Nothobranchius furzeri: one gene and its partner. The protein of the gene in region 1 purifies or fractionates together with the protein of each later gene. This does not show direct contact. Links are inferred from orthologs where the notes say so. Each region holds a gene or a part of one and is shown on either strand. Other genes may lie near its edges. The genes, in order: faua and rc3h1b.

What was found.
Region 2: the proteins of faua (region 1) and rc3h1b purify together in Homo sapiens (affinity purification with mass spectrometry; 3 studies listed by BioGRID, with this or other methods). This does not show direct contact. The link is inferred for Nothobranchius furzeri from reciprocal best matches to the Homo sapiens genes FAU and RC3H1.

The regions. Positions count from the first base shown.
Region 1 is NC_091742.1:23,793,680-23,797,414, forward strand, and holds faua (FAU ubiquitin like and ribosomal protein S30 fusion a), read left to right. Parts: upstream 1-1,379; 5' UTR 1,380-1,489; intron 1,490-2,035; 5' UTR 2,036-2,042; coding exon 2,043-2,117; intron 2,118-2,230; coding exon 2,231-2,375; intron 2,376-2,582; coding exon 2,583-2,638; intron 2,639-2,820; coding exon 2,821-2,946; 3' UTR 2,947-3,044; downstream 3,045-3,735. Other genes in the region: prpf39 (pre-mRNA-processing factor 39), read left to right, coding at 1-10, 189-303, 403-492; peptidyl-prolyl cis-trans isomerase FKBP3, read right to left, coding at 3,345-3,399, 3,689-3,735.
Region 2 is NC_091751.1:54,521,849-54,526,303, forward strand, and holds the start of rc3h1b (roquin-1), read left to right. Parts: upstream 1-1,502; 5' UTR 1,503-1,660; intron 1,661-2,753; 5' UTR 2,754-2,935; coding exon 2,936-3,166; intron 3,167-4,455. UniProt on the Homo sapiens protein: Post-transcriptional repressor of mRNAs containing a conserved stem loop motif, called constitutive decay element (CDE), which is often located in the 3'-UTR, as in HMGXB3, ICOS, IER3, NFKBID, NFKBIZ, PPP1R10, TNF, TNFRSF4 and in many more mRNAs.

The DNA of each region.
Region 1 (3,735 bases):
GTTATGACAGGTGTGTAGAGCCATCGCTCAGGTCACGCCGATCCACCAGTACCTGCGTAACACTCTGAAAGCAGGTTTTACTCAAGTATTTAACTACAAACTATGTGTAGGTTTTAAAGTAGCTAAAGCATTACCATTGGGGGGAGGGGCCCTAAATCATATTTGCTAATTTAAGCTTTCTTCTTTAGCTCTCAAGAAAGTGACGCCAAAAGACAGCGTGTGGACGACCCTTCAGCTGTTGCGGCAAACGCCATGACAGACATGCAGGCAAACAGCTCTGCGTACAACTACAACTGGTACCAGGTAGGGTTGTCTTCTAACCACATCCTTACGTTGTGTTTAACAAACTCACGATCACCAGAGCCATGAGGCATTAACTTACTTGCTTTGTTTTGTCTTTAGCAACAGTACGGTGGCTGGGGACAGAATTCCTGGGGACAGTACAACCAGTATGCCCAGTACAACCAATACTACCCTCCCCCTCCTACATGATGAACAAGCTTTTTACATGAAGATGGAAGTGGGATCTTTTCTGACCTTAAATCTTGGAGCAAGCAAATTTATCAAGAGATTTCAGTTGAACTACGCTGTGGAGTTTTTCTAGTTCTACTTCCTGGCTTACAGTTGACGTGTTGCAGCATTCTTTTGTTAGATGATATTTGGCCTTCCATGGTAACGATGTTCATCTCATTTTGTGGAGGAACGTAACTGCTAAATTAATCATCTCTGCACTGTTTAAGTTGAAGGTTTTGTTTTTCCTATGCATGACATACGAGAGACCTACATTGGATTATTTTGACCTGTTTGTGTTTCCGTTTAAAGCTTGTAAGGAACACAGTTAATTGTTGTGGTCAAGTTTCCAAATGAACATTTTTAGTATTTCATGCTTGTTTCCATTGGGAGCAATGAAGAATCCCTTTTTTAATTTTGACTTGATTTCTTAATAAAGAGTGGTATCCTCATGTCTCGTTTTGTTTTATGTGGTTGGTTCAAAGTATCAGAAGTAAAAAGCTGGTGAGCTAACACACACACACACACACACACCTTGACCAAAAATTGATGTAATCTTTAGTCATAATGTAGCTGCTTCTAAATTACTAAAGCATTCACCACAGATGTAAAGAAAACAAGTTTTAGACGAAGTCAAATAGAAAAATAATCGAACATGAAAGTCTGCTGGAGCTAGCACACAGGGTATCATGTAGTCAATACGTAATACGTGATTAAAGAGTTTGTTTCCCTCCTAAAGCAGGGGATAGATTAGGCGTAATCAGTGTGTGAATGGATGAGTGACACACAGTAGTGTAAAGCGTTTTGGAGTCCTTACTCTGAGAGGTGCTATACAAGCGGGGGTCATTTATCATTTATTAAAAAGCGTCAAGTCGTCACCATCACTTCCGCCGAGCGTTACGCAAATCTGCACATGCGCAGTGTCGCTCCGCAGACGGTCCTTTTTATGCTTAGCGTGGAACGACTAGCATCAAACGAGGTAGGAACCGTATAGTTTTAGTCAAAAATCATCATTAAACCAACCTCAAGACAGTCTAAGTTTTCAAATACACTACTTTTATCTTTAGGCTGTATGTGATGTGTTTAAACATTCGACTTAATAGTGTATTTTAAGTATTTTGTGCGGTTTTTCTTAAAACGCATGTCCTCATGAGGCTAGTTGAGCTAGCGTTGAGTATACCGGGAACTCGTCCACCCTCTGCTTCCTTGTGTTTGAGGCTTTTTAACATCTACCTAACGTCTGGTTTGGATTTGTTTATGAGTCTAAGGTTAAATGTTTGTATTTTAAAAGATTATGAAACAAAACCATCGAATTTCCGCAGCTAACGACAGTGGCAGACATCTTGGTTTGTGTAGGAAAGCTGTAGCTAATTCTGAGAGAAGAACGCACATTGATGTGGAGTTTGTGTGAAGCCTGTGGTTGTGTGTCAGCTCATCTACCTGTCTAACATCTGGGTATTTTATCTATGCCGTCCTTTTGCACCTGTTAGCAGCAGCAGAGCTAACTGAAAACGTTTCCTTGCAGCCTCAGGATGCAGCTCTTTTTGCGTGCCCAGAATACTCACACCCTTGAGGTGACCGGACAGGAGACTGTTGGCCAGATTAAGGTAGGATGCTGGCCTCTGTTATATTATTTCCAACACACTCTGCTGTTATAATCATTTTAAGATGCTCAAAGCAGGAATTGCTCTAATAATATCTGGGTTTTGGTGTTTTCCAGGCCCATGTCCAGACTCTGGAAGGACTCCATGTGGAGGATCAGGTCCTGCTGCTTGCTGGGTGCCCACTGGAGGACAACGCCTCCCTGGCATCTTGTGGTGTGTCCGAGCATTGTACCCTGGAGGTTGCCGGCAGGCTGCTTGGAGGTTAGTACATAGATGCAAAGTGAATGTATACATGTGAGAGTATGCCATTAGCAAACGTGACAAATAGATAATGAATCAAACTCAAGTTTGTAGGTTATCAGTTTGACAAGGTAGTGAGTGGTAAACTGCTGATTGTACATATAAACAGCATCATATGAATAGTTATTTATTTTTGAAGACCTATAGTTTAATCATGCTCTCTTTCAGGTAAGGTGCACGGTTCACTTGCCCGTGCTGGAAAAGTGAGAGGCCAGACTCCCAAAGTAAGGAATTTTACATCTTTAACTCCATTAAAGCATTTATAGTTAAGGAATTGTCCAAAATGGGTGTATAAAGAAACATTTAGTTGTTTTCCCTCACAGTTTGAGTCAGTTATTAAAAATGTAATTTATAAAAAGTCATTAACTGGTACAATCCTAAATATCTGCGTTTTTTTTCCATCCAGGTCGACAAACAGGAGAAGAAAAAAAAGAAGACTGGCCGTGCCAAGCGCCGTATCCAGTACAACAGGCGCTTCGTGAATGTCGTGCCCACCTTCGGAAAGAAGAAGGGTCCAAATGCAAACTCCTAATCAGCAACCCGGAGGAGAAACGACAAACGCCATCTGTCATCTTTTACCAAGTTAATGTTTATTTCTGTACAGAATAAAGAAGTTTAACTTGGCTTCAACGCGTTGTGTCGTGGTACTAGATTATAATAAATGTAGAAAAGCTTGGTGCTTTTATTTCATAGCATCTTTAATGTACAAGTTCAATGAAACAGCTAAATGTGAAAATTAAAATGAAGTAATTAAGTCTTTTGTACAAACTAAGAACTTTATTTTGTACACGGAAACATTACAATCATTCTGGTTTAAACAAATGACATGTGACTAGATAAAGGCAAAGTGGACTGTTTAAGTGCAGTCCAAACGACATTTCAACATAGGGATCCAAAAGCTGCATATGGAGAGCAATGCTGGTGGACTGTTTAATCCACAGACACCAGCTCAACCTCAAAAATCAGCTTTGCATTAGGAGGGATTCTGGTGGAGCTGGAATTAAGGAAAATGTGTTAACAGGAAGTCAAACTATAACCTTCACAAAAATATAATTTACCACAGTCAAGATGTTCAATATTATCCAGCACCTTAAACTAGAGAAAAAACACCTAAACGTAAACAACTCATTTATGACTATTATGATCAAAACCCTATTTCCTGCTTATTTTAAAGAGTTAAAGTACTTTCCAGTACCACAAAAATTCTACAAGATTAAGAAAACTAGCCCAGTAAAATGAAACCTGTTTTATTGTGATGCCAAAGAGAAGGATACTTGGAGTCAGGGAGGCCTTTCTTCCCGTACGCCCACTCCGCTTCAAT
Region 2 (4,455 bases), on another chromosome or scaffold:
TCCGGTAATCCTTTCAAAAATCAGTGGGATTAACAAAAATAAAAAAAATGCATACAGAAATGTTTGCTTTAATTTCGTCCTTCTTCCTTGCCACACGAACGAACTCCACGCTTCTGTTGCGTAAGAGCTTCTGCAAACTGTCCATCCAAATGCAACCGGATGAAATAAAAGTAGTAATTCTGTCTCGTGGGTTACCTTGATGACGAGACAGAGCCCGGTTTTGAAAATGAAAAACAGATTTTGTGTGCTGTCACCTGATTCTTACTTGTCGATATGGCTGAGCCCTCCCTCTGTCTCCTTTTATCCTATTCGCCCCCGCTCCTCCTCCTCCCTGCGCCCTCCAACGGGAATCGTGACGGAATAAACATTATAACAGCCCGGGAAAATTAAAAAAGGAAACCCCCCCTTGAAACGTGTGTTTACTCAGTCGTGGTTGCCATTTATTTAATTGTCTGTTTATTTGTGATTATGTTATTCCTTCTTTTGACATTTTGCTTCCAGATTAAAAAATAATAATTTCACAATTTTTTTTATCTGTTGGATCTGGGTCTGGTGTGTGTGTCATTTGAGCAATATTGTATCTGTTAATTTTCTATTATGAGATTTTGACATCATGAAAAAAATACATCAGTTTTTTTTTATCAGAAACCGTTACCGTGGTGTCATTTTCATTCTCTGCGTCGTTTCATGTTTCTTTTGACTCACATTTGAGTGTTTTTGCTGTCGTTTTCACCAGACTTAAGAGATCGTTTGGTTTTGGCTGTGCATGCGGCTTATCGCCGATAGGGGGCGTTCAACGAACGCAGGTAAACGTGTGCTCGCCATGGTGCTCGCACACGCGCAGCCCTGAACGGTGTCGTGCTGAAAAAGAAAACCCTCGTCGCAGGACAAAATTTTCAAGGCACATGTTTTCTTCCTTACAGCAAATCATGGATGTAATTTTGGGGGAGGACAGGGGGGACATGTCCCCCCCACTTTTTCCAAAGCCAAGTTTTGACCCCTGCACTTTTTACCATCCAAAAGCAATATTACATTATATTAAATTGACACTGGTTGAGCTCTAGGACCAAGTAGAAACGTTTGTGTTGAAGCCTGTTTCCCATTAGAACATACTGTAAAGATCCCCCCCCCCCCCCGTGTCCCCCCCACATCTAAAGTGAAAATTACGTCCATGCAGCAAATTAAAAAGAAAAAAACGTAAAAAAAACATATTTCACACGTACACAAGTTGCAAACCTTATAAATATAGTAAATATTTAACGCAGTGATGATACCAAACAGAGTGGATAGTGGGTCCAACGCTGGCAGCCTATCCCTACTGAATGGTGATATTCGCTTTTCCTTTGTTTCTGAGGGTCCATTCTTATAAATAACAACGATTGCATAATAAGTTAAATGAAAATTTCAGTCCTGTTCATTTGCTTTCATTTTTATCTATTTTATGTGCGAATAAAGCCATCTAGAAATTCGCTTCGCGTAACTGGTTCCTTTTTACGGAAGGGTTGCATTTTTTGTCACAACACCAACCTTCAAGCTAGTCTGTCTTCGAATTGACAACCCCCTCCCCTAAGAGCAGCGAAGCTGCGCAGTCGACATGGCAGGAAAATATCGCAACAGTTTTGTAAAGAAAGATGAGATACTTCCAATTCATTTGGAATAAGTGAGTATTATCGACAAAATGTCGTCGGTATCATATCGGAAACTGATAGAAGCGCTGCATGATTAGTTAAAGTCACACGGACGCATAGCGATGGTTATTTGCTGTTAACATGGAGGAGCAACATTTGTTCATTAGCCAGCTAGCTGTCTCACTAGAAAAGCGTTCGAGTCAGCCGCTTTGGCCAAGACTATTTCTGTAGTTACCAAGTGTCGCCATTTAGTTAGTGGATCTTGTTAATATACATTTTTGGTAATATATCTACTTGTTAGTTTGAGATACTAGCGTTACATAATTATACAAGTCGAATGTTTTATTCGGTCTCTACTAGGTATCATTTCCTTGTATATTTATACACGAGTGGCAGCTGATGTTTTTGATATTGTAATAGCTGCACATGTGTGATTAGCGTTAGAAAAACTACTACATAATAGCGAAGAAACATCTGGTTCGAGATTGTTGTGAAGCGAATGTTTTTCATCCAACTACGTTTTGTTAGCTACGATTGTCAGCTAGCCACCCATAGCTTAGATTGCTAAAGTGAGCTAACGCATCGCCTAATATTACTATTTATATTGTCTTAAGTGGATCATTGTAGCACTTTATGCAAAGTTAACAATATATTCTGTTTATATTCAACTAAGTTTTCTCGAAGTAGAGTGTATCTTAACTATGTTAGCTTCATTGCGTTTGATAGCAGTGACTTGTAAGTTAGCTTCTTTCTGTACCCTTTGTCCAGAGAGGCTACAAGCTTCTTTAAGTAGGCCACACAGCTGTTGTTGTCGTTTGTTCAGTAGGCCTTGTTTTTAAATCATATTGTGTTTATTTACTGATATTTTAGTTGTTATTGCGAGTGTAAAATGGAAATTGCAGAAAAGAAGTCGACACAAAAGCATTAGCTGTCGACTTTGCCACCCTCTAGGTTAGAGCATTTTTGCTAGATGCATATATAGCCATCATGGTAATATTTTGATGGTTCATGTCGGCACATACAAAGATTACTAACGATTGTAAAGAAGCATTTGGCTCTTATTCAAAACAAGTTATTTCAAGAAATGTTTTTACAACTTTGATTCATTTTTTTCTTCTTTTACAGTATTCATCACGAGATGTGATCCAACATCCACAATGTGTGAGGACATTTAAGAACAATTAAGTTCGGAAAACAATCTCGATTCCAGTGGAATCTTCCATACATCTATATCTATATATAATTATTATATTTTTCTTTGTGTTAACTCCTAAATATACACGCACCCAACCCACCAACATATAATCATGCCAGTGCAAGCGCCACAATGGACAGAGTTTCTGCTGTGCCCAATCTGCACGCAGACGTTTGAGGAGACTGTTCGCCGGCCCATCAGTTTGGGCTGTGGACATACTGTCTGCAAGATGTGCCTGAACAAGTTGCACCGTAAGGCCTGTCCTTTTGACCAGACGGCCATCAGCACTGACATTGAGCAGTTACCTGTCAACACAGCCCTGTTGCAGCTGGTGGGAGGCCAGGTAAGACCAGAGTTCGTGTGTATTTGACATTTAATTACCATACAAGTGTAGTGATAGAAGCTTAGATAACCTGTGCACAGATCAGGTTATTTCCTTGTTATGTTTTGTTGTTTCCTTTTTGAGGTGCTTGTCATTTGTAGTCTGGTGCATGAGCTTTTTATATGGCTTTATGAGTTGCACGAGAGTTATTAAGCGGCTGCTTGAAATTAGTTTTACCGAGTGCTTCCTTCATAAGTAACTGTATTTCTTTTAGGTAATATTTGACCTGCAGGGCGAGTCCCAGTTGATGTTATTACCACAGTTTCCAGGTTTAGACTTAGTAGTAATGGAAAAGATCAGTGCATTGGCAATGAAGCTGAACCGTTCAATCGTTAGTAACGTAATGTTTTAACATGTTTTTACCTCCTTGATGAAAATAATATGCCAGGGGAGAAATCTTAAAATAATACCACTTTTTTTTAACTTTTTGTTTATGTCAAAATGTATGCTTTAAATTTAAGTCATTTTTATTATTTTAATTATTAGGTAGTTGTATTATCATCACTGTTCAGGAACACTGCAAGTTATAACTAAACCAATATCCAGGAAGTACCAGCAGTTGAGCAGATGCTGCTGCAGAAGTAAATGTTGGAAGATTTGGGAGACAGAAGACTCTGCGTGGTGGTTGTACTTTTAGTCCGAAAGTTTAGACATGGCTTCCTCAAAAGTGCTGGTCCTGTGGAGATAGGATTAACAGCACACCTTGTGTGCTTTGTCAGATTTCTCAATCCTGCGAGCATTCATTTCACCCAGAGGGAAACTCACAGCATGTGATCCTTTTGCACCAAGGGCAACAGAGCATCCTTCTGCACCCTGTGCCTGAAGGCCTTTAGTTAATAGTTATTTAGTGCATCATCAGCACTGATATAAGGAATGCATTCATGAGTCTAAGTCGGAGATGATGCCCACCAGCTTGTATGGTTGCTAATTAATAATCCACACTCTGCCAACATGGTGGACTGTGTTTAATAATAAACACCTCTCTGCATGAGGCATTCCCTCTTTTTTCTAATCCTGTGGAATATTGTTAATTTAAAAAAGCAAATCCTCTATTGTTTTAACAGCTATATGTGTGTATATAAGAAGTAAACAAGTGTTAAAGTATACTACATTTAGACCAATGGAAAACCATTTTTGTTTTTGAACAAAAAATTGTAATTTAGCATAAAATTGTGTTTGCATAACACTTCAAATACATTTTAAGTTTTATTATGATTAATGATGAGAAACTGCTCATTTAGTTTATTAAT